Arabidopsis thaliana: one gene and its partners. The protein of the gene in region 1 interacts with the protein of each later gene in a pairwise test. Each region holds a gene or a part of one and is shown in the gene's direction. Other genes may lie near its edges. The genes, in order: AT5G22355, AT4G14900, AT2G03500 and GSTU2.

Region 1 (4,409 bases):
AGTAATTGCACCAGCATCATGCTCCACCAATGATTCAATTCTCTTTAAGATTTACCAAAAAAAATTATAAATAAAACTGACAATATAGGTAGTTATGACACCCCAAGAACCTTCCACTGTTTACCCTAAATTTGCAGAACTTGAGATATTGGCAAATTTACATATTTACCAATTCATTGTTTCCATAAAAATTCAAATAGTTCCTCCTTCTCTGAACATTCATACACTCTAAAGAAGTACTAAACAATATGAAATTTCCACTCCTACTTAGACTGAGACCTAACAAGCTAAAAACCTAGAACACACGACGAAACAACAAAGTAAAAGAAACTCCTATCCAAAAGCAATCATCAATCTCTCAACTACATCATGCGCCTAGCAAAAACTGACGAGAATTTCGAGTATAGTATCAATGGTTTATAGTCGACGAAATGAAAGCACTAAGCAGATGCTAAAAACGTCTAGAGCCTAGATCAAAGAAACTCACGTAGAGAAGGTGATTATCAGATAAGCCGAGCGCACGAACGAGACCGATACACTGATTCTCGGAGCCAGGGAAACCGTTTCCGATGACGACGGCGCGTCTGACGACGTTATGGGAACCGCCTTGTTCGAAAATATCAGGGACGCCGGTAGATAGACTGGGTGGATCCGGCAATAGGATTGGCCTCATGCCGGTTAGATTATCGATTCCGATTCCGATCAAAAACCCTAGAGGAACCACACCGAGATTTGGGGGGATTGATCTCAACTCCGTAGAGAGAAGGTCGTGGTGCTTTGACAAGTTGCGAAAGGTCACAGAAAGAGAGATTGTTTTCCTTTTCTCCTTCAAGAGATTGTCTTTACGCTAAAATTTGGTATAACAATTAACAAAGGACAAATTTAAGGTCTTAAACGAATTTTTTGCTAATCAATAAAACTAATTTTGTCAATACAAAACATACAATTGTTTAAAAAAAAAGAAATTGTATGGTATTTTAAAAATTTTGATTTTAGAATTTGAAGTTTTGGAATTTTGTTTTGTTATATGATGATTAAAATTAAAATTTCACCGATAGTCATCCAAAATTAGAATAAAACACTATTTGTCACATAATTGCTGTTTTTCTAATTGTCTATTCAAATCTTATGAACCTCTTCGTAGGCCCAATATGTAGAATTTGATTGTTAAAAGGTGAAGCCTTATCTGGAAAAAGCCCAACTGTTATTGTTCTTCCTGTGCCTCGTTTTGTCTCGGTCTAACTTTTTTACACACGACTTTACCAATCATAGTATTCAAAGAAATCTAGCGATCTCAAGACTCCGAGTGTCACGATAGAGAATATGAAATTGCAGAAATGATTCAATATAATTATATATCTTAGCTGTTGTTAACACGTTAGATGTTGAGTTTAGGAAATTAATTTATTGGGTATTTTCATACTATTATATTCATAGGTAGCTATAACGATGATAAGATAATTTAATGTGTGCAGGTTGTAAACAGTTAGGAATATGAAATAATTCAACTATATATTATAATCATCTCGTGGAAAACAGGATCGATTGCACATGATTCATTGGAGACAAGAATCGTTAAGGTGTTCACACATTACGTGTCTTTGTTATATTGGGGTTACAAAGATGCATTCATATGATGTAGTATTATCTTGAGATCTCCAGAAAACAAACCGCATTTGAATCACAAAATGGATCTACCACCCAAAATACTACCAACTCACAAATATCCTTTGACCATTTCGACTCGTTTTGTTAATGATTCTTGTAAAGGTTGCAATATAAAAGGTCCCATCTATGGCGGCTACCGTTGCAACGAGCCTTCCTCTACTAGTTTGTTCTTCCACAAAGAGTGCGCAGAGGCTCCACCGGAGATTATCAACCATCCTTCTCATCCTCAACACACTCTTAAACTCCACAATTCTCTAAGGAACCCATGTAAATGTAATCTATGTGGCAAGACTTTTTTCGCTTTTGGTTATCGTTGTTCATCAAAATGTGACTTCATCGTGGATCTCACTTGTGGGATAAATCCATTGCCGGTTTCTATCGAACATCCAAAGTCTCATCATCATCCAGTTATCTTCTTGAAAGAACCCGCAAAGCCGGGTAGGCGCAGATGCGGAATTTGCAAGGGCTATAATGGTGGATGTTCTTATGCATGTCTTGAATGTGAAGTCCACTTTCATGTCGAGTGTGTCAATCTTTCCCAAGAGGTGAATCATCCTTCTCATCCTCAACATTCTCTCAAGTTACTTGAATATGAATCACTAACAAGTGATGCTGAAGAGACATGTCTTTTATGTGGAGAACGACCAGACAAAGTGCTTTATCGCTGCTCGATATGCAACTTCAGCGTATGTCGATTCTGTACAAAAGATCCACCACCACTTGCTATCGAGCATCATAAGACGCACGAGCATCGACTTGTCCTCTTATCAAGACTCATCTCATTTGAATGTAATGCTTGTGGGATGCAAGGTGATCGAAGTCCTTACATGTGTGTTCAATGCGGGTTTGTTGTCCATAGAACTTGTATTGACTTACCACGTGTCATAAACATCAACCGTCACGATCATCGCATCTCTTTCACCCATCATCTCGGTGTTGGGTACTCGAGATGCGGTATTTGTCGCAAAGATATAAGTCAATACCATGGGGCTTATTTATGCCCTCGTTGCCCGAACTATGCAGCTCATTCACTATGTGCAACAAGAAAAGACGTATGGGATGGGGTAGAACTCGAAGGGACACCAGATGATGATGACGAAGATATTGTGCCGTTCAAAGTGGTGGGTGATAACTTGATCAAGCATTTCAGTCATGAAGAACATAATCTAAGACTCAACAAGGACAATATCAATCGTGACGAAGGCTCACGTTGTGAAGCATGCGTCCTTCCTATCTATTCCGATCCGATCTACAACTGTGAGGAATGTCGTTTCATTCTCCATGAGAAATGCGCTAATCATCCAAAAAAGAAACGACATGTATTCCACACAAAACCATTCACACTATGGTCCAGACCACCTCGTACATTCCATAGCAAAGATTTTAGATTCTACGATGTCTTTCGCTGCTATGCTTGTAGAACGAAGTCTACTGGTTTCAGGTACGTTTCTGATTGGTGGGTTCTAGATGTACGTTGTGGTTCGCGTTCTGAACCGGTCATTCATGATGGTCACAGACATCCTCTATATTACGAACATAAGAAAGATCACTGTTGTGATGCATGTTATAAAGAGATAGATGGTTATCTGCTTTCCTGTGACACTTGTGACTTTGATCTGGATTTACACTGTACTGATTTACCAAAAACGGTAAAGCACAGCTGCGACAATCATCCTCTTTCCCTATGCTATGGCGAAAATGCAACCGGAAAATATTGGTGTGATATTTGCGAGGCGGAAACAGATCCAAGTAAGTGGTTCTACACTTGCTCTAAATGTGTGGTTACTGCACATATTGAATGTGTGCTTGGAGACTTTTCACGTCTCATGCCAGGACGCATCATCAACTACAATAATGTTAGAGTTGAAGTGGTTCTTAACAGCTATAGTTCTCGCCCCTTCTGTGCAAAATGTCACTCCAGATGCAGAGCTCCTATCATTCTAAAGCTTTGTGATCCATATACTGGATACATTTGTTCCGATGCATGTGTAGTGCCCGACTATCAATACAGCTAAGACAACTATGTAGCTGTTTATTTCACTCTATTGTTTCTCGTAATTTTTTGGATGTAAGAGTTTATTTCCAACTACAAGTGCTAAGCATTCTGGTTATATTCATACTGTGTTCATCAGTACAGGCAGGATTAAACTGTATCGATGACATATATAAAGTCGTAACAAGTTATGACAAACTTGCTAAAAAGGTAGTAGCAACTAATATGATTTAGTTAATGAAAACATAGACAGAAATGATGGAAACAGATATTTGTGAATCAGAAATGTTATTAAACAAAGATGAAAACTGAAGTAATTTTAACAACAAAAATAACGAATATGTGATGTACATTGCAAATGCAAAAATTATAAAGACACAGCGGATAAAGTTTTGGAAATACAGAGAACAAACTCACTCACGTGACTAAATCTAAAAGACAAGGCAAGAGTTCAATGAACCTCTGTATCATTTTGATTTTGACATTTACAAGAGTTACATAAGCAAGGAGGACCATGACATGTAACTTCAAACTCACAGTCATTTTCATGACAAAACCAAGGCTTCAAATCGAAATGATGCGACTGAGTTGATTTACAAAAACAGTGGTCCGTTTCAGTATACCTTAGATAAGGCCGCCAGATTTTAAGATCTGCATGATGGTAAAGTGATTCCTCCGCAGAAAGATGCGATTATTATGTACAGCAAGAAAACTATCAAGCATGTCAACAAGACCCTGCCGAACACAA
Region 2 (5,859 bases), on another chromosome or scaffold:
AATACTGTTTGAAAAACTTATGTTTTGGAGAATGAGAATCAATAAGAGCATATTCCTCTATCAAATTTATCGAAACCTAAAACAGTCTTGATGCTTTAACCAGTCTGACATATTTTACATGGAGACAATTTGATAAACCCCCGGAAGCTGATACTAGTCTAGTAGTCAGCTTCGTAAAAAAAAACACATATTATAACTTACAACTTACATTTGATCTGAATGATTCTCGTTGAAAAGAATTCTTGAAATATTTATGATAATGCTTGATATATGCTCTCAGAACTTTGATAGATTCTGGTGATATGTTTTTAGCCTTTTGTGCTTTTTTTCCCTTTTCTTTTACCCTTCTCGCAAAGTGGTGATTGATTTTGTGGCCAGCCAATGATATCCCCTTTTGTTATCTTTAAGTCACATGCCAAAGAGCTATTCAGAGTTCTATGGTGTTTTCTAGAGTAACGAAAGTGGTAGGGAAGAGTATCTCGTGGGAATGGTTTGCCTTAATATTTGGTTAATTGGTGGCTATCTTGGTCATAGGCTATATATGCCTTATTAGGTCATTGTTTTTTTTTGCGCTCAAAGTTTCATATATTTGTGTTGGTGACTCTAGATTTAGTCTTATGGATTAACATGAAAATATAATCATATATACGAAGTAACTTTTGCCTGAAGTTTCACTTTTGCTAAATAATATATTGTCTCACAACGTTCTTGCTATATATATATCTTCTCAAATACATGGCCTGAAATGGTATAATTATTGTTTCATATTTAGTAGTCCAAGATAAAAGACAGAAGAAGTGTTATGAATTATGAATGTTTGCTTTTATCATATATGAGATTATAACCGTCATCATTGACAATTAGGACATGGATATATTAATTTTACACATAATGATTAAAAGCTTTAGATTATGCAGTGTCTTAATCATGTTGCTATATAAGGTTAGGCCAAGATTCATGTCAAATCACTGCATACTCTGCACGACTTTAGATCATTATGATCCCTTGTGAATTTGAACCCTCCTAATCTCTCTTATCCCTTTTAAATATCATGTTCCCTTAGCCCATTCCTGTTTCAACATGCGGGGAGAAAACTAATCACGTTAACTCCAAACAATCAATTATTGTTGTAGTTGTCATTTGTCAACTCTATTATCCAAAAAGTGAAATATTTCGTTTCATTCGCTTTGTTTTATCTTGTCACAATCTTTGTAAGTAAGGCTATAATTCAGTATCCTCACATATCCGTCGTTAAAAACATATATTTTCCCATAATAGGACTAAAAAAAAACATATATTTTCCATAATAGGATATCTTCAATGTTGTGGACTTGTGGTCCAATACTGTGATATGGAACATTATCTTGTGCTTCTTTTGGGTTTTGTTAAATGTTAACGTATACGATAACTAGCTATATATAGAAAATGAGATTCCTACGTCGAAAATAAAATACGTACGTTACTTTATGTTCTTATAGTTAATGATGGTTAGTGCGTGGTTAAAATGTTCACCTTATCAATTGAGTGCTCGAAGTTTAAATCTTTCTACTCTGATTTAAATTATGGTTGGCAATTTTAGATGAGATGACAAAAATACTTGACTCTTCTACAAAATACGATGAACACAAAAAAGAAAAAATTTATGATGAAAAATAAAAGATAAAATTAAAATATTGAATTATCTTCACCTATTCTTTTTAAAAGAAAGTTTTTTAACACTTCTGTAAGATTATCAACATGCATGTCTTTGCGCTTCAACGAGAAGAAAGGAGAACAAAAAAAATCACGAGTATTAGTCTGAATTTGGTTCTGAATCTTTTGGTCATATATTTGATTAAATTATGTAATATGTAAAAACACAAATAATTAGTGTAAAAAGGTTTTGTGCTTACCTAATCATCACGTCTACAAACACAAATATTGGGCCCAACACTCCAACGCATGCCTATTTCATTACACCATCTACAAGTTCTTCTCCACAAATGTACTTTCATTTTTTTTCTTGGCAACAACATTCTCTTTTTTTTTTCTTTTTTTCAAAATATACGTTTTACTACAAAATTAAAATTTCGTAAAGTACAATTTTGCATACATTTATGCCGGCAATGCTTCACTGTCTTCTGACTCAACGCATGTGGTGGTCACCCACCGATTTTCTCCTACCTTTTCCTTTTTCTGGTTCACTTAAACCGATACAAATTTCGGTTTACCACAACTTTTCTAAAAATACGCGTTCTCCGCTCACGTTAGCAACAACCAATCGGGAGTTTGGTGCTATTGCTGCCGTCATAAAAGTACGCAGGCACACAAGGCGCACTCTAGATGGCTGTCATAATCGCGCCATAGTTACAGACGCCATTACACGTGTCATTCTTCTGACTAATCCACGTCATCCTCCTCCTCTTATACTATTGCCATTTTTAGGTTTTCCTGCAAAACAAACAAATCAGTCCTTCTTCTTCACTTTTGTTACCTTCTTCTCTGCAAAATCGACTAAAGTTTTGAGTTTCTTCACCGTACGATTAACCGGAGATGGAGTCTTCTCCCGATCCAGGAGAGTTGATTAAGTCGTCTCAGCCGAGTTTCTTTGAGTTTCAGAAGCAGGCGTCTCTAATGACGAGCTGCAATCTTCTATGGAAAGAGCTCTCTGAGCATTTCACTTCCATGGAGCAAAACCTGATGAAGAAATCTGAAGCTCTGAGACAGATGATTGAAACCCTAGATAATCAAACGCAGAGCTCGATTGAGTTACTCAAGCATCGTGAGGTGACTATAGACCACAGCGTCGAGATCGCGGAGGGGAAAGTTGAGGAACGCGTTAGAGCGGCGTTGGATTCGCTGGAGAAAGCTAGAGACTGTGGTGATGAAGATACCGGAGAAGTCGACGACGGCGACGGGCTTTTATCGGCGCTGAAGTCGCTTTGTTTGAAGATGGACGCAAGAGGATTTTGGGGGTTTGTGATTGCGAGGAAGAAGGAATTGGAGAATCTCCGGTCACAGATTCCTGTGGCGTTGGTAGATTGTGTGGATCCGCCGAAGTTAGTACTTGAAGCTGTATCTGAGGTTTTTCCGGTGGATAAAAGAGGTGGTGGAGAGAAAGTGAGCAATGATTTTGGATGGGCTTGTGTTGTGATTCTGGAGAGTTTGATTCCAGTTATGGTTGATCCAGTGATGGGGAAGTCTCGGCTACTTGTAACTCCTAGCGTTAAGGAGAAAGCTAAAGAGATTGCTGAGACGTGGAAGGCTAGCTTGGAAGAGAGAGGAGGGATTGAGAATGTGAAAACACCTGATGTTCATACGTTTCTGCAACATCTTGTGACTTTTGGGATTGTGAAGAAGGATGATCTAGCTCTTTATAGGAAACTTGTGGTTGGTTCAGCTTGGCGTAAACAGATGCCAAAGCTTGCTGTTTCAGTTGGTTTGGGCGACCAAATGCCTGGTAATCTTTCTTCTTTACCTTTGATTACCATTAGATGTTTTTAGCTATATATTGGGGAAGCACAAGTTGTTGTCTTTTGTCATGGGAATCTGTGAGTAGTATCTGAAATGGAAAATGATGGTTTTTGGGTTGTTATGGCTTCACACAGATATGATTGAAGAGTTGATAATCAGGGGACAACAGCTTGATGCGGTTCATTTCACTTTTGAAGTTGGTCTTGTACACTTGTTCCCTCCTGTTCCTTTGCTCAAAGCTTATCTGAGGGATGCAAAGAAAGCTACAGCTTTAATCACTGATGATTCCAACAATTCTGGCCGATCTGCGGTACTTTCCTCCATTTGTGTTACTCGTTTTCTTTGCTGGATCCATTTGCAGGGATCTGTTTCTTCTGCACTCGCTTACCAATGTATGTGTGTATTTTTCTAGCATCTTGTGGCGCGCAAAGAGCAATCAGCACTTAGAGCAGTCTTAAAATGCATAGAAGAATACAAACTCGAGGAAGAATTCCCACCCGAGAATCTCAAGAAGAGGTTGGATCAGCTAGAGAAGACCAAAACCGAGAAGAGAAAACCAGCCGTGATTCCCGCCAACAAGAGAACCCGAGCAAGCTACAGCGGTCCAATGCCACCAGCCAAAGCAGGGCGTATCACAAACGCTTACGTCTCCTCTTTCCCACCGCCTCCACCAACATTCATCAGATCCCAAAGTCACTCACCTCAATACGGTGTACCAGCATACACCACATCCCCACCTACCATCTACAGCAACAGGAGCCCTCCATACCAATACTCACCCGAGGCGGTTCATGGTTCTTACCAAACCTCTCCGGTCAGTTATCCGACAGCATATGGTACCTACTGCAGTCCGGTGGCTGCTCCACCCCCTCCAGTTTACCATCCTCACCCGCACCACCACCACCATATTCAGCATGCTTACTACTGATTAGACAATGACAAAGGAAAAAAGAAGATGGTAAGTAACCAACCACTGATCTCTGGTGTCTACGTTTTGTCTCTACCTCGTTTTTGTTGTAATCTCTCTTTTTTTATATCGTATCATTTGTAGCTAACACTCTCACTCTTTCTGGTTCTGAATTAGTCTACCCTTGTGTGTTTATTAATCTAAATTATACATATCTATTCACTTTCCTAATGTTTCAATCAACGAATTTAGTTCAGTACTTAATAGATTCATCTTAAACCAGGAATGTTTCACTGTGATTATGTTATGTATCACTGTTTGTATTGGCTCATTGAAATCAAGATTTCGAAGTCTCATAGCAAGATTCGTTACAAAGTGTTCGTATTACACCAAAAAAAAGACTTCTTTAGTCTAAATCAAGAAGATGATTAGTCGTTGGCAGTGGCGAGCTGGAGAGACAAGAGTTCTTCCTCAGGGATCATCTTAATGTGACAATCAGAAGTTGGATACGAAGCACATAGAAGCGTGTAGCCACGTTCAACCACATCATCACTTAGCATCCCACCACTTTGATCCACCGTTCCGGTCACGAGTTTCGCTGGACAAGTCATACAAACACCGAGATTGCAGTCGTAGGGAACGTCAAGGCCAGAGTCAAGAGCCTTAGATAGAATCGTCTCGTCTGGTTCGACTTCCAATTCAGTCGTCTTTCCGTCGTGCTCTACCACCACTTTATATGCCCGAGCTATGATCCTTCCGGTGGTGAGAAAGTTCCGGCGGTTTGTTGTTGTTGAGAGTGTTGCGTTACGGAGTGGGAAGGAGAAGGAATTGGAGAGATAAGGTTTAGGGAGAGAGATTGTAGAAGTTTGAGTCGGGAGAGGAAGAGTCGCCATGAGAGACAGAGAGACGGAGACAAAAGAGTTTTTGTGTCAAGTGAGAGTGATGACTGTTTGTGGTGAATACGGAGATAAGGTTGATCATCGGTTGTAGATAGTGGTGGGACATAAAAACCGAAAACCGACTTAAACCGAAATTCATTAATGCATTAAACCGAATTAACCAAGATCTAATAAAATGAATTTTAAAATTTTAATTATATTCGTAATTAAGGGAAATATTTTTTCCAAAACAGTTTGAACAAATAAATTCAGTATTATTTTTCCATACTCAAAACTCCAAATCGGACTAACTGAAAAAAAGAAACCGAATGTTCAAACCCCAGTTATGGAAAATATTAACCGGACTTAATACGGATATGACCAAATCAGACCGAGAAGTAGTAATTCTGGTGACCAACCACCGCGTTTTTCTAAATTGATAGCGTGTGCCATGTGACTGACACCAAAGAGATCATATATCTCATCATTCGAAGATTTTATTCCATACAACCGATTTTCTCCATTTTCTTCAAAACGATTCGGGTCAAGGTTATTGACTTTCTCATTCAGGTATCATCTTCTTCCTCGTCCCATACTTTTTGATTCACTTGCTTATTCCTC
Region 3 (5,314 bases), on another chromosome or scaffold:
TTAATGTTCTAGAAATGTTATTATATGAAAGCATAGAGCAACTAAACAATTACAACTTCTAAATGCTCTCTTATTTGCCTTGAATATAAATTTGATTGGGTAGAAAAAATCTTGTATCATCAAATCAAATTGATATATCCGCCCCGAATTTGTTTTAATATGCATATATCTAATAATTAATTTGTATTACATATGTGCATCAAATATTAAACAGAAGCATTTTAGAGAATTAATTTTATCAGGTCCACAATTAGTTCATCGGTTTTCAATGAAACCTAGATACGAAAAGAAATTTTGATAAGACTTTGAATTGCAAAAACTCTTTAAAAAAGTTTAAAATATTTCTAAGTAAGAAGAATCTTCTACCTTCCTGGCCACTTCACTAAAGTCCGGTGGGAAGATTCTGCGACTCTCAAACTTCTGTCAATATTATTTACTTAAGTGAATATCTGTCCTAGTTTATGGTAATAAATTAAATCAGATATTCCCTTTCTTTCTCTTTTTTGCATCCACTAAAATTTAGAATAATTATTCAACTTTTTTAAGAAATTCAATTTACAAAAAAATATTGATCAATCGTTATCTCTGTCTCTCTCTCTCGCCGTCGTGCAACTATAAATATAAAAATCTTGTGGCCTAATATGTGCTTCTTTGATTTATATTGAATCTCAATTCCTTTTGAAAATTTAAAATAATTAACTATATAAATTAAGAAGGTGGTAGAAGAATATTTGTTTTTCTGGCAACGACTATAAATTTCCCAAAATGTACTAAAACGTTCACAATTTATTCCTTTCACATAATTGCGTTGGTGATTCCATAATTTTATTTTAACTTTGTCGAATATATAAGATAATTAAGAACCAAATACCTGAAATGTTAGCTTAGATCTATTTTTCAGTCAACATGAGCTAAGATTTATAGGAGAATTAGGAAACATATTTTATCTTAAGAATTATGAGACTGAATTTACGAAAGTATAAGCTATGTGAAGTGGTGAACCAACAAAAGCAGAATCTGAGATTAAAAACAATATATCGCTTTATTAGAAATAATTTAAAAGTTTGTATTCTTACCCATTTGTTCTTTATAACAAGTTTCCATATATTCCCTTTTGCTCTGCTGCTTTATATCTTCCTCTTTTCTCCTTTAGCCTCTCTTTTCTCTTTCTTTCATATGGAATTATACATAGATTAATTTTCTGAAGAAGTGATTAAAAACTAAGCATTATAAGAGAAGATAAAAAAACAAATCAAATGGTTACTAATTTAATGATTTTACTAATATTTACCAAGCCATAGTTTTTTATATATTAACTATTTTGTTTAAGATTCATGAAGCCATATATGGTAGCATCAAAAGCCTTGATTATAAGCTTTTTGAGAAATGAGAGTCACACATGATACACCTTTAGTAATATTGACTCATTAGAAAATAAAAATAATTTATCTTTGTTATATTTTCTCAAATTTTGCTCAAACACAAGCAGCACTTGATGTAAAACAGTTTTTTTCCGAATAATTTTACATAATATTAAAAAAAATAAAAAAATATTGACTCATTAGAGAAGAGGAACGACTTCTAACAGTAAGAAGCCTCTCACTCTCTCTCTCTAAAAAATACACCTCCTTAGTCTCTCCCTCTCTCGATAGATATATGTGTGTGTGTGTGTGTGGTGACAGATCACATTATTCCGTTCCTTTGAATTGAGCCCTCTAAAAAGGACAGGAACCTCCTTGTGATCCTCCTTGTGTCCACAACCTAACATTTTATTCCCCTTTTCCTCTATCTTCTTCTTCATTCGCTCTTCCTCTCCAAACCCTAATTTCCAAAAACCCTGAAAATCTTTGAAATATTTCTGAAGAACCATATAGCATATACATATATCATCTGAAACTTGAAGGCACCACAAATTCTTCTTGATTCCTTGATCATCTATATTATATTTATATAATCAATAAATATTCTTCCTATACAGCGAGAGAGAGAGAGTATATAAGCTATAAATATGGCGTCCTCATCAGAACTAAGCTTGGATTGCAAGCCACAAAGCTACTCTATGCTTTTGAAATCCTTTGGAGATAACTTTCAGAGCGATCCAACCACACATAAGCTTGAAGATCTTCTCTCTCGCCTAGAACAAGAACGTCTCAAGATCGATGCCTTCAAACGCGAGCTTCCCCTTTGCATGCAACTCCTTAACAATGGTACATATATCCATTTACAATATTTAGATCTACGTATATATACTTGTGTATAATATGATCTTCAAATAATCCCTTTATTACCAAAAAAAACCTAGTGAACCATTAGTTTTTTGAATTTCTTTTCACTTTTTTTTTTTTGAAAAGATCTTTATTCATTAATTTAAGAATTTATTTCATAAAAATCAGAGCTTGCTTTTGATTTCTTTGAATCACAAAACTTTTGTTTCCTCCCAACACTGAAATCAACAAAACTAACTAAAGTGATTTTAAAGGTTATAAGGTTCATGTTATATCTGTTACTTTCATATTTTAAATTACTTTACCATCTTTAATTAGTTTGATTTTTTTTTCCAGCTGTGGAAGTTTACAAACAACAACTAGAAGCATATAGAGCAAATAGTAATAACAATAACCAAAGTGTTGGTACAAGACCAGTTCTCGAAGAGTTCATACCCTTAAGGAACCAACCCGAAAAGACAAACAACAAAGGAAGTAATTGGATGACGACTGCTCAGCTATGGAGCCAATCCGAAACCAAACCAAAAAACATTGATTCAACTACTGATCAATCTCTTCCCAAAGACGAGATTAATAGTAGTCCGAAACTCGGACATTTTGATGCAAAACAAAGAAATGGCAGCGGTGCTTTTCTTCCCTTCTCTAAGGAACAATCTTTGCCTGAATTAGCTCTATCCACGGAGGTCAAGAGGGTCTCTCCGACCAACGAACATACTAATGGCCAAGACGGTAATGATGAGAGCATGATCAACAATGATAATAACTATAATAATAATAATAATAACAATTCGAACAGCAATGGAGTTTCTTCTACAACGAGTCAAAGTAATAGAAAGGCACGACGTTGCTGGTCGCCGGACTTGCACCGGAGATTTGTCCAAGCTCTTCAAATGCTTGGTGGCTCGCAAGGTACAGATACACTTATTCTAATCAACTAAGTATTAATTTGAAGTAGCTTTACCATGGTTAATCTAAAAAAATTGTCAACTAATTAAAACGATTTTTTTAGTAGACATGATATTTGAGTCACCAAATACATACATCATTATCGTATACTGCATATTTTATACATGGCTAGTATTATCATTTGTGGTTTATTCGATATTTAGGTAATAATGAATATGGTATGGCAAATTGCCATGATTTCCATTTTGCTATTTTTATTTTTTTCAAAAGGCATATTATAAAGTTTTAGTTGGCGTTTTCTATAGTTTTTTCGGTTGATAAAAAACAGTACATAAAGTGAAATTGAATATACGATAGATCAACTTGAATCAACAAAAAAAAATGAGAGATCAACTTAAGTACTTAACAATTATTCAAATATATGTAGTTAGTTTCCAAATAAATTCTAATTCTAATTCTATTTTTTTCCGGTTTAGATATGGATTTAGTTTATTAAATATAGATTAAAATAACCTTGTTAACCTAATAAAAAGTGTTTAATTTTTGAATCGAACTTGTATCCGTATTTATATGTTGGTTATATCATTGCAGTGGCTACACCTAAACAAATAAGGGAACTCATGAAAGTTGATGGTTTGACCAATGATGAAGTCAAAAGCCATCTCCAGGTAACTTAAATCACAAGTCACCACAATATGCTTTACAACTTTTTTTAACTCATATTTAAGTACTTTACTGGTGTGTTGATTTTAAACAAACAGAAGTATCGGCTTCACACTAGAAGACCAAGCCCAAGCCCACAAACGTCAGGTGGGCCAGGTCCACATTTGGTGGTCCTAGGTGGCATATGGGTTCCACCGGAGTACACCTCCGCACATGGTGGCACTCCGACTCTCTACCACCACCAAGTCCACCACCACCATACCAACACGGCAGGGCCGCCTCCACCACACTTTTGCTCCTCTCAAGAATTCTACACAACTCCACCGCCTCCTCAGCCGCTCCACCACCACCACTTTCAAACGTTTAACGGTTCATCCGGTGGCACCGCCTCTACCGATTCTACTCATCATCAGGTGACGGACAGTCCCACAGTTGAAGGGAAGTCACCGGAGAGTGGTGGTGGAGAGAGAAAAGGGTTGGCTGCTCTTAGGGAAGAATGTGAAGATCACAGCAATATTAATGGAAGTGAAATAACTCTCAAATTCTAAAAAAAATAAAGATTCTTGATTAATTAATTAGAGTAATGAGATTTTAGGGTTAGGGTTTGTGGGTGCCTACGTAACTTATTTCATTGCTTGTATCTCTCTATATATTTTCTCAGTAGAAAATGAATCACAGGAGGCAGCGAATGTTTTTATCGAACATTATGAATATCATATCATCACTTAGAAAATTCATTTTGATCATGTTACTCTTATCGTTAGATAAAAACATGTATTCAAACTGGTAATCTCAAAGGGACTATCGTGTCTGTGTTTACTTTAGTTGGTTGATTATATGAATGGATAATGTGGATTGATCATATGAACTTGTGTAGGCGTTAACTATGTGTAAATTGATTAATTCATATGGCCTTTGTTTGTGTTATCAATGATATATATGAAAATTGTAGTGATGTTAAACATTTGAGCAGCTAAATGCTATATGTAAATTAATGATTTAATCGTTGTTTCCATTGTATATATATTTAGGTTCGATCATAACACAAGTCAAAATGACTTGCCGTTTAAAATTAAGACCATCATTAAAATTAGATTGTTGGAATCTCTTTGGTATTGCGGCAAATTTTCTAGTAATTGGCAATGTATAGTCTTCTTCGGTTTTAACTATCTACTATTTGTCCACAAATATTGCATTAAACGCCACAACAAATCTGAATATTTGATTGGCCGGTATGATGCATCTTCATGTGCTAGATATGGAGTGGTGGTCCTTGGAATTTTGCTCTAAAAGTCAGCGATATTCTTTATTTTCATTACATAAACTAGTCGACGCACCACTTCTGCATTTAGTTTTTCATAATCATATTATATACTCTAATATTTGCAACCTAAGAAAAAACCATTTGATGGAAAAAAATTAGGAAAAAAGAATGTCAAAAATTTGGAAGGTGTTAGAATCATTTTTGTTATGAGACAGTATTTAGGTTGGTGTAAATCTTGGTTTGAAACTTGATTGGT
Region 4 (3,378 bases), on another chromosome or scaffold:
ATTTCGCTTAGAGTTCGATTTCGGTTTAACTAAACCAAATCAACCGATACCGTGAATCAAGACGGAATCAAACCCAAAAACTGAAAAGGTTCACATTATATAAATGTTATATTTTGATTTAGATTATTACATCATTTCTTTCAAAATGATTAACATTTTGTTTGATAACTGAATATTTCTTCTGTTTTACAATGTCATTCATTTCAAATGTTTGGCAGACAATGAATTGGCCAAAAAATAGACTCTTCAAAACAAAAAAAGTTGTGTGTTTTACAAATACAGTCGATACATTAATCTCTCAGTTTTAAACTTTTCAACATATGAATCTTAAAATATAAATTGTAGAACGTAATCATTTGGAGATTTGTTATTTCTTGGTCGGCTAATTGACTGGAGATTAGAAACACTAAGTGTTGGTCAAATATCTTAAAACACTAAGACGAATGACGTTGGCAATGACGTGCATACCTTAAAATATAAATCAGTCCTTTTCTGGTGTGATCTTCAAGATATCCTTGGATACAAAGACAAAGAGAAAGCAAAATGGTCCTTTTATTTATTTGTTTATTTCACCACCCATAACTTCATTTGTGTATAGAATATAGTAAACTCAAGTAATCAAGCAAGTAAACGAAACATAAAAAAGAAAAGTAGTGCAAGAAACAGAGGAGTTAGATACCAAAAAGTGAGAGATATCGAATGGCGGAGAAAGAAGAGAGTGTGAAGCTTCTAGGGTTTTGGGCAAGCCCTTTTAGTCGTCGAGTCGAGATGGCTCTCAAACTCAAAGGCGTGCCATACGAATACTTGGAAGAAGATTTGCCCAACAAGACCCCTTTGCTTCTGGAGCTAAACCCGCTTCACAAGAAAGTTCCGGTTCTTGTCCACAATGACAAAATATTACTCGAGTCACATCTGATTCTCGAATACATCGATCAGACGTGGAAGAACAGTCCAATTCTTCCTCAAGATCCTTACGAGAAGGCCATGGCTCGATTTTGGGCCAAGTTCATCGATGACCAGGTATACTAATATTGATTTGCAGATTAATTAGTTGATTCTATGCAGAACAATATTATATTATTCGCTTGTTTATATATTGTTCTTTACTTGCAGATCCTAACACTAGGGTTTAGGTCCCTTGTAAAAGCAGAGAAAGGAAGAGAGGTTGCTATTGAAGAGACTCGGGAACTGCTTATGTTTCTTGAGAAAGAAGTCACTGGAAAAGATTTCTTCGGTGGCAAGACAATCGGATTCTTGGACATGATCGCAGGAAGTATGATCCCATTTTGTCTAGCTAGACTTTGGAAAGGTATTGGAATTGATATGATTCCAGAGGAGAAGTTTCCGGAATTAAATAGATGGATCAAGAATTTGGAAGAAGTTGAGGCAGTGAGGGGATGTATTCCTCCAAGAGAGAAACAAATTGAGCGCATGACCAAAATTGCAGAGACAATTAAGTCTGCCTAAATTAAAGATACTTCTTGCCTACGAAAATATTTGATTTATATGCTTGCATCGTTTTTTATTTATATTTTTATTTTTTAAAGTTTTTCGAAAAATAGAATGACCTAATATTTAAGTAAAAAGATCAAAAACCTATTTGAAAGTTACAGCAATCAAATAACGTGGTGTGTCTGGAGATTGTAAAAGCCAAGACTAGAAGGAAATAAGAATAAAATAACCAAAGTGACCTCAGCAGTGACTTGGTTACCTTACTGATGTCTTTTTTTTTTTTTTTATCTTCAAGATAAGCTTGAGAGTTGAGACTACAAAAAAAAGCACAATATTGTTTTTAAAGTGACAGAGAGAGTCAGAGAGAGAGATCTAATGGCGAAGAAAGAAGAGAGTGTGAAGCTTCTAGGGTTTTGGATAAGCCCTTTTAGTCGTAGAGTCGAGATGGCTCTCAAACTTAAAGGCGTACCATACGAGTACTTGGAAGAAGACTTACCCAAAAAGAGCACTTTACTTCTTGAACTAAATCCGGTTCACAAGAAGGTTCCGGTTCTTGTTCACAATGATAAATTATTATCCGAGTCACATGTGATCCTCGAATACATCGACCAAACTTGGAATAACAATCCAATTCTACCTCACGATCCCTACGAGAAGGCCATGGTTCGGTTCTGGGCCAAGTTCGTTGATGAGCAGGTACTCTAGTCTAACTAATTAAATTGATTTATAATATTGATTGCAAAATAAATGAGAAACACTTGAGAGTTATTAGAAGTTCATTACATTTCAAGCATTTATATCAGGATTATTTGTAGGATAAAGTAATTTTCTAAGTACTTTTTTTTATAGATTGGTATAATAACTTGCAGATCCTACCAGTTGGCTTCATGCCCCTAGTAAAAGCAGAGAAGGGAATAGATGTTGCTATTGAGGAGATTCGAGAAATGCTTATGTTTCTTGAGAAGGAAGTCACTGGAAAAGATTTCTTTGGTGGCAAGACGATCGGATTCTTGGACATGGTTGCGGGAAGTATGATCCCGTTTTGTCTTGCTCGGGCTTGGGAATGTTTGGGGATTGATATGACTCCAGAGGATACGTTTCCAGAATTAAACAGATGGATCAAGAACTTGAATGAAGTTGAGATCGTGAGGGAATGTATACCTCCAAAAGAGAAACATATTGAGCGTATGAAGAAAATTATAGAGAGAGCTAAGTCTACGTTCTAAATTAATGATAACTTCATAACTCTGTGTTCTAAAATAATGACTATGTGCAGCTTGTATCGTTTTGTTATTGAAAAATTTGAAACAAAGAATGAATGTAGCTGCATTGGTAGTGGAAATCAATTAATGGGTGCAAAGTGAAATGTTGAAAGCTACCTATTATAACTATAATAACAAATATTGATTTATGGTTTAGGGAAAATAAATTGCAAAGATGGTAAATCTAAGTTCGATAGGATGATGAGTTAATTTGTTTCATGATGTGTGGTATTGATTACATGATGTTTGATAAGAAGTTAAGAACATTAACGTATGGTTGGTTAGTATTGGTTTATTGTGTATTGTTGGTTAGTATTTCAGTTTAGTGATATTCTGGTTCTATTAGTCTATCCAATTTTGTATTAGCATTGGTAACTCAATTTCTTCAAGAAATGAAATAACAAATATTTAACATATCTCTCCAAAACTAATACATCGGAAGTGAAAGATGAAAGACATGTTCAAAGAATATTTATCAAAAAAAAAAAAAAGAGAGATGGTCAAAGTTAGACATAAATATTGACTTTTGAGGATTCTTAATATTTTGAACACATGCTGAAATGTTTAGGCGTGAGGATAAATGATGAACACATTTGAAAGTGACGGCAATGATGAACAACTACCTTCTAGATGTTCTTGGATGATACACATGAATGATGTACAT

What was found.
Region 2: the proteins of AT5G22355 (region 1) and AT4G14900 interact in a two-hybrid assay, tested with the Arabidopsis thaliana proteins (one large-scale study listed by BioGRID).
Region 3: the proteins of AT5G22355 (region 1) and AT2G03500 interact in a two-hybrid assay, tested with the Arabidopsis thaliana proteins (one large-scale study listed by BioGRID).
Region 4: the proteins of AT5G22355 (region 1) and GSTU2 interact in a two-hybrid assay, tested with the Arabidopsis thaliana proteins (one large-scale study listed by BioGRID).

The regions. Positions count from the first base shown.
Region 1 is NC_003076.8:7,400,074-7,404,482, forward strand, and holds AT5G22355 (Cysteine/Histidine-rich C1 domain family protein), read left to right. Parts: upstream 1-1,633; 5' UTR 1,634-1,688; coding exon 1,689-3,683; 3' UTR 3,684-3,899; downstream 3,900-4,409. Other genes in the region: ELM1 (fission ELM1-like protein (DUF1022)), read right to left, coding at 488-673; VAMP714 (vesicle-associated membrane protein 714), read right to left, coding at 4,306-4,396.
Region 2 is NC_003075.7:8,520,281-8,526,139, reverse strand, and holds AT4G14900 (FRIGIDA-like protein), read left to right. Parts: upstream 1-1,922; 5' UTR 1,923-2,532; coding exon 2,533-3,439; intron 3,440-3,587; coding exon 3,588-3,763; intron 3,764-3,865; coding exon 3,866-4,381; 3' UTR 4,382-4,788; coding exon of another isoform or gene 4,789-5,253; 3' UTR 5,254-5,358; downstream 5,359-5,859. Other genes in the region: FdC1 (2Fe-2S ferredoxin-like superfamily protein), read right to left, coding at 4,789-5,253.
Region 3 is NC_003071.7:1,057,918-1,063,231, forward strand, and holds AT2G03500 (Homeodomain-like superfamily protein), read left to right. Parts: upstream 1-1,627; 5' UTR 1,628-2,008; coding exon 2,009-2,207; intron 2,208-2,561; coding exon 2,562-3,134; intron 3,135-3,722; coding exon 3,723-3,799; intron 3,800-3,892; coding exon 3,893-4,342; 3' UTR 4,343-4,762; downstream 4,763-5,314. UniProt on the Arabidopsis thaliana protein: Transcription factor acting as a flowering repressor, directly repressing FT expression in a dosage-dependent manner in the leaf vasculature.
Region 4 is NC_003071.7:12,629,682-12,633,059, reverse strand, and holds GSTU2 (glutathione S-transferase tau 2), read left to right. Parts: upstream 1-1,738; 5' UTR 1,739-1,827; coding exon 1,828-2,148; coding exon of another isoform or gene 2,149-2,153; intron 2,154-2,321; coding exon 2,322-2,678; 3' UTR 2,679-2,862; downstream 2,863-3,378. Other genes in the region: GSTU1 (glutathione S-transferase TAU 1), read left to right, coding at 700-1,020, 1,114-1,467; AT2G29485 (uncharacterized protein), read right to left, coding at 2,086-2,153, 2,329-2,470. UniProt on the Arabidopsis thaliana protein: May be involved in the conjugation of reduced glutathione to a wide number of exogenous and endogenous hydrophobic electrophiles and have a detoxification role against certain herbicides.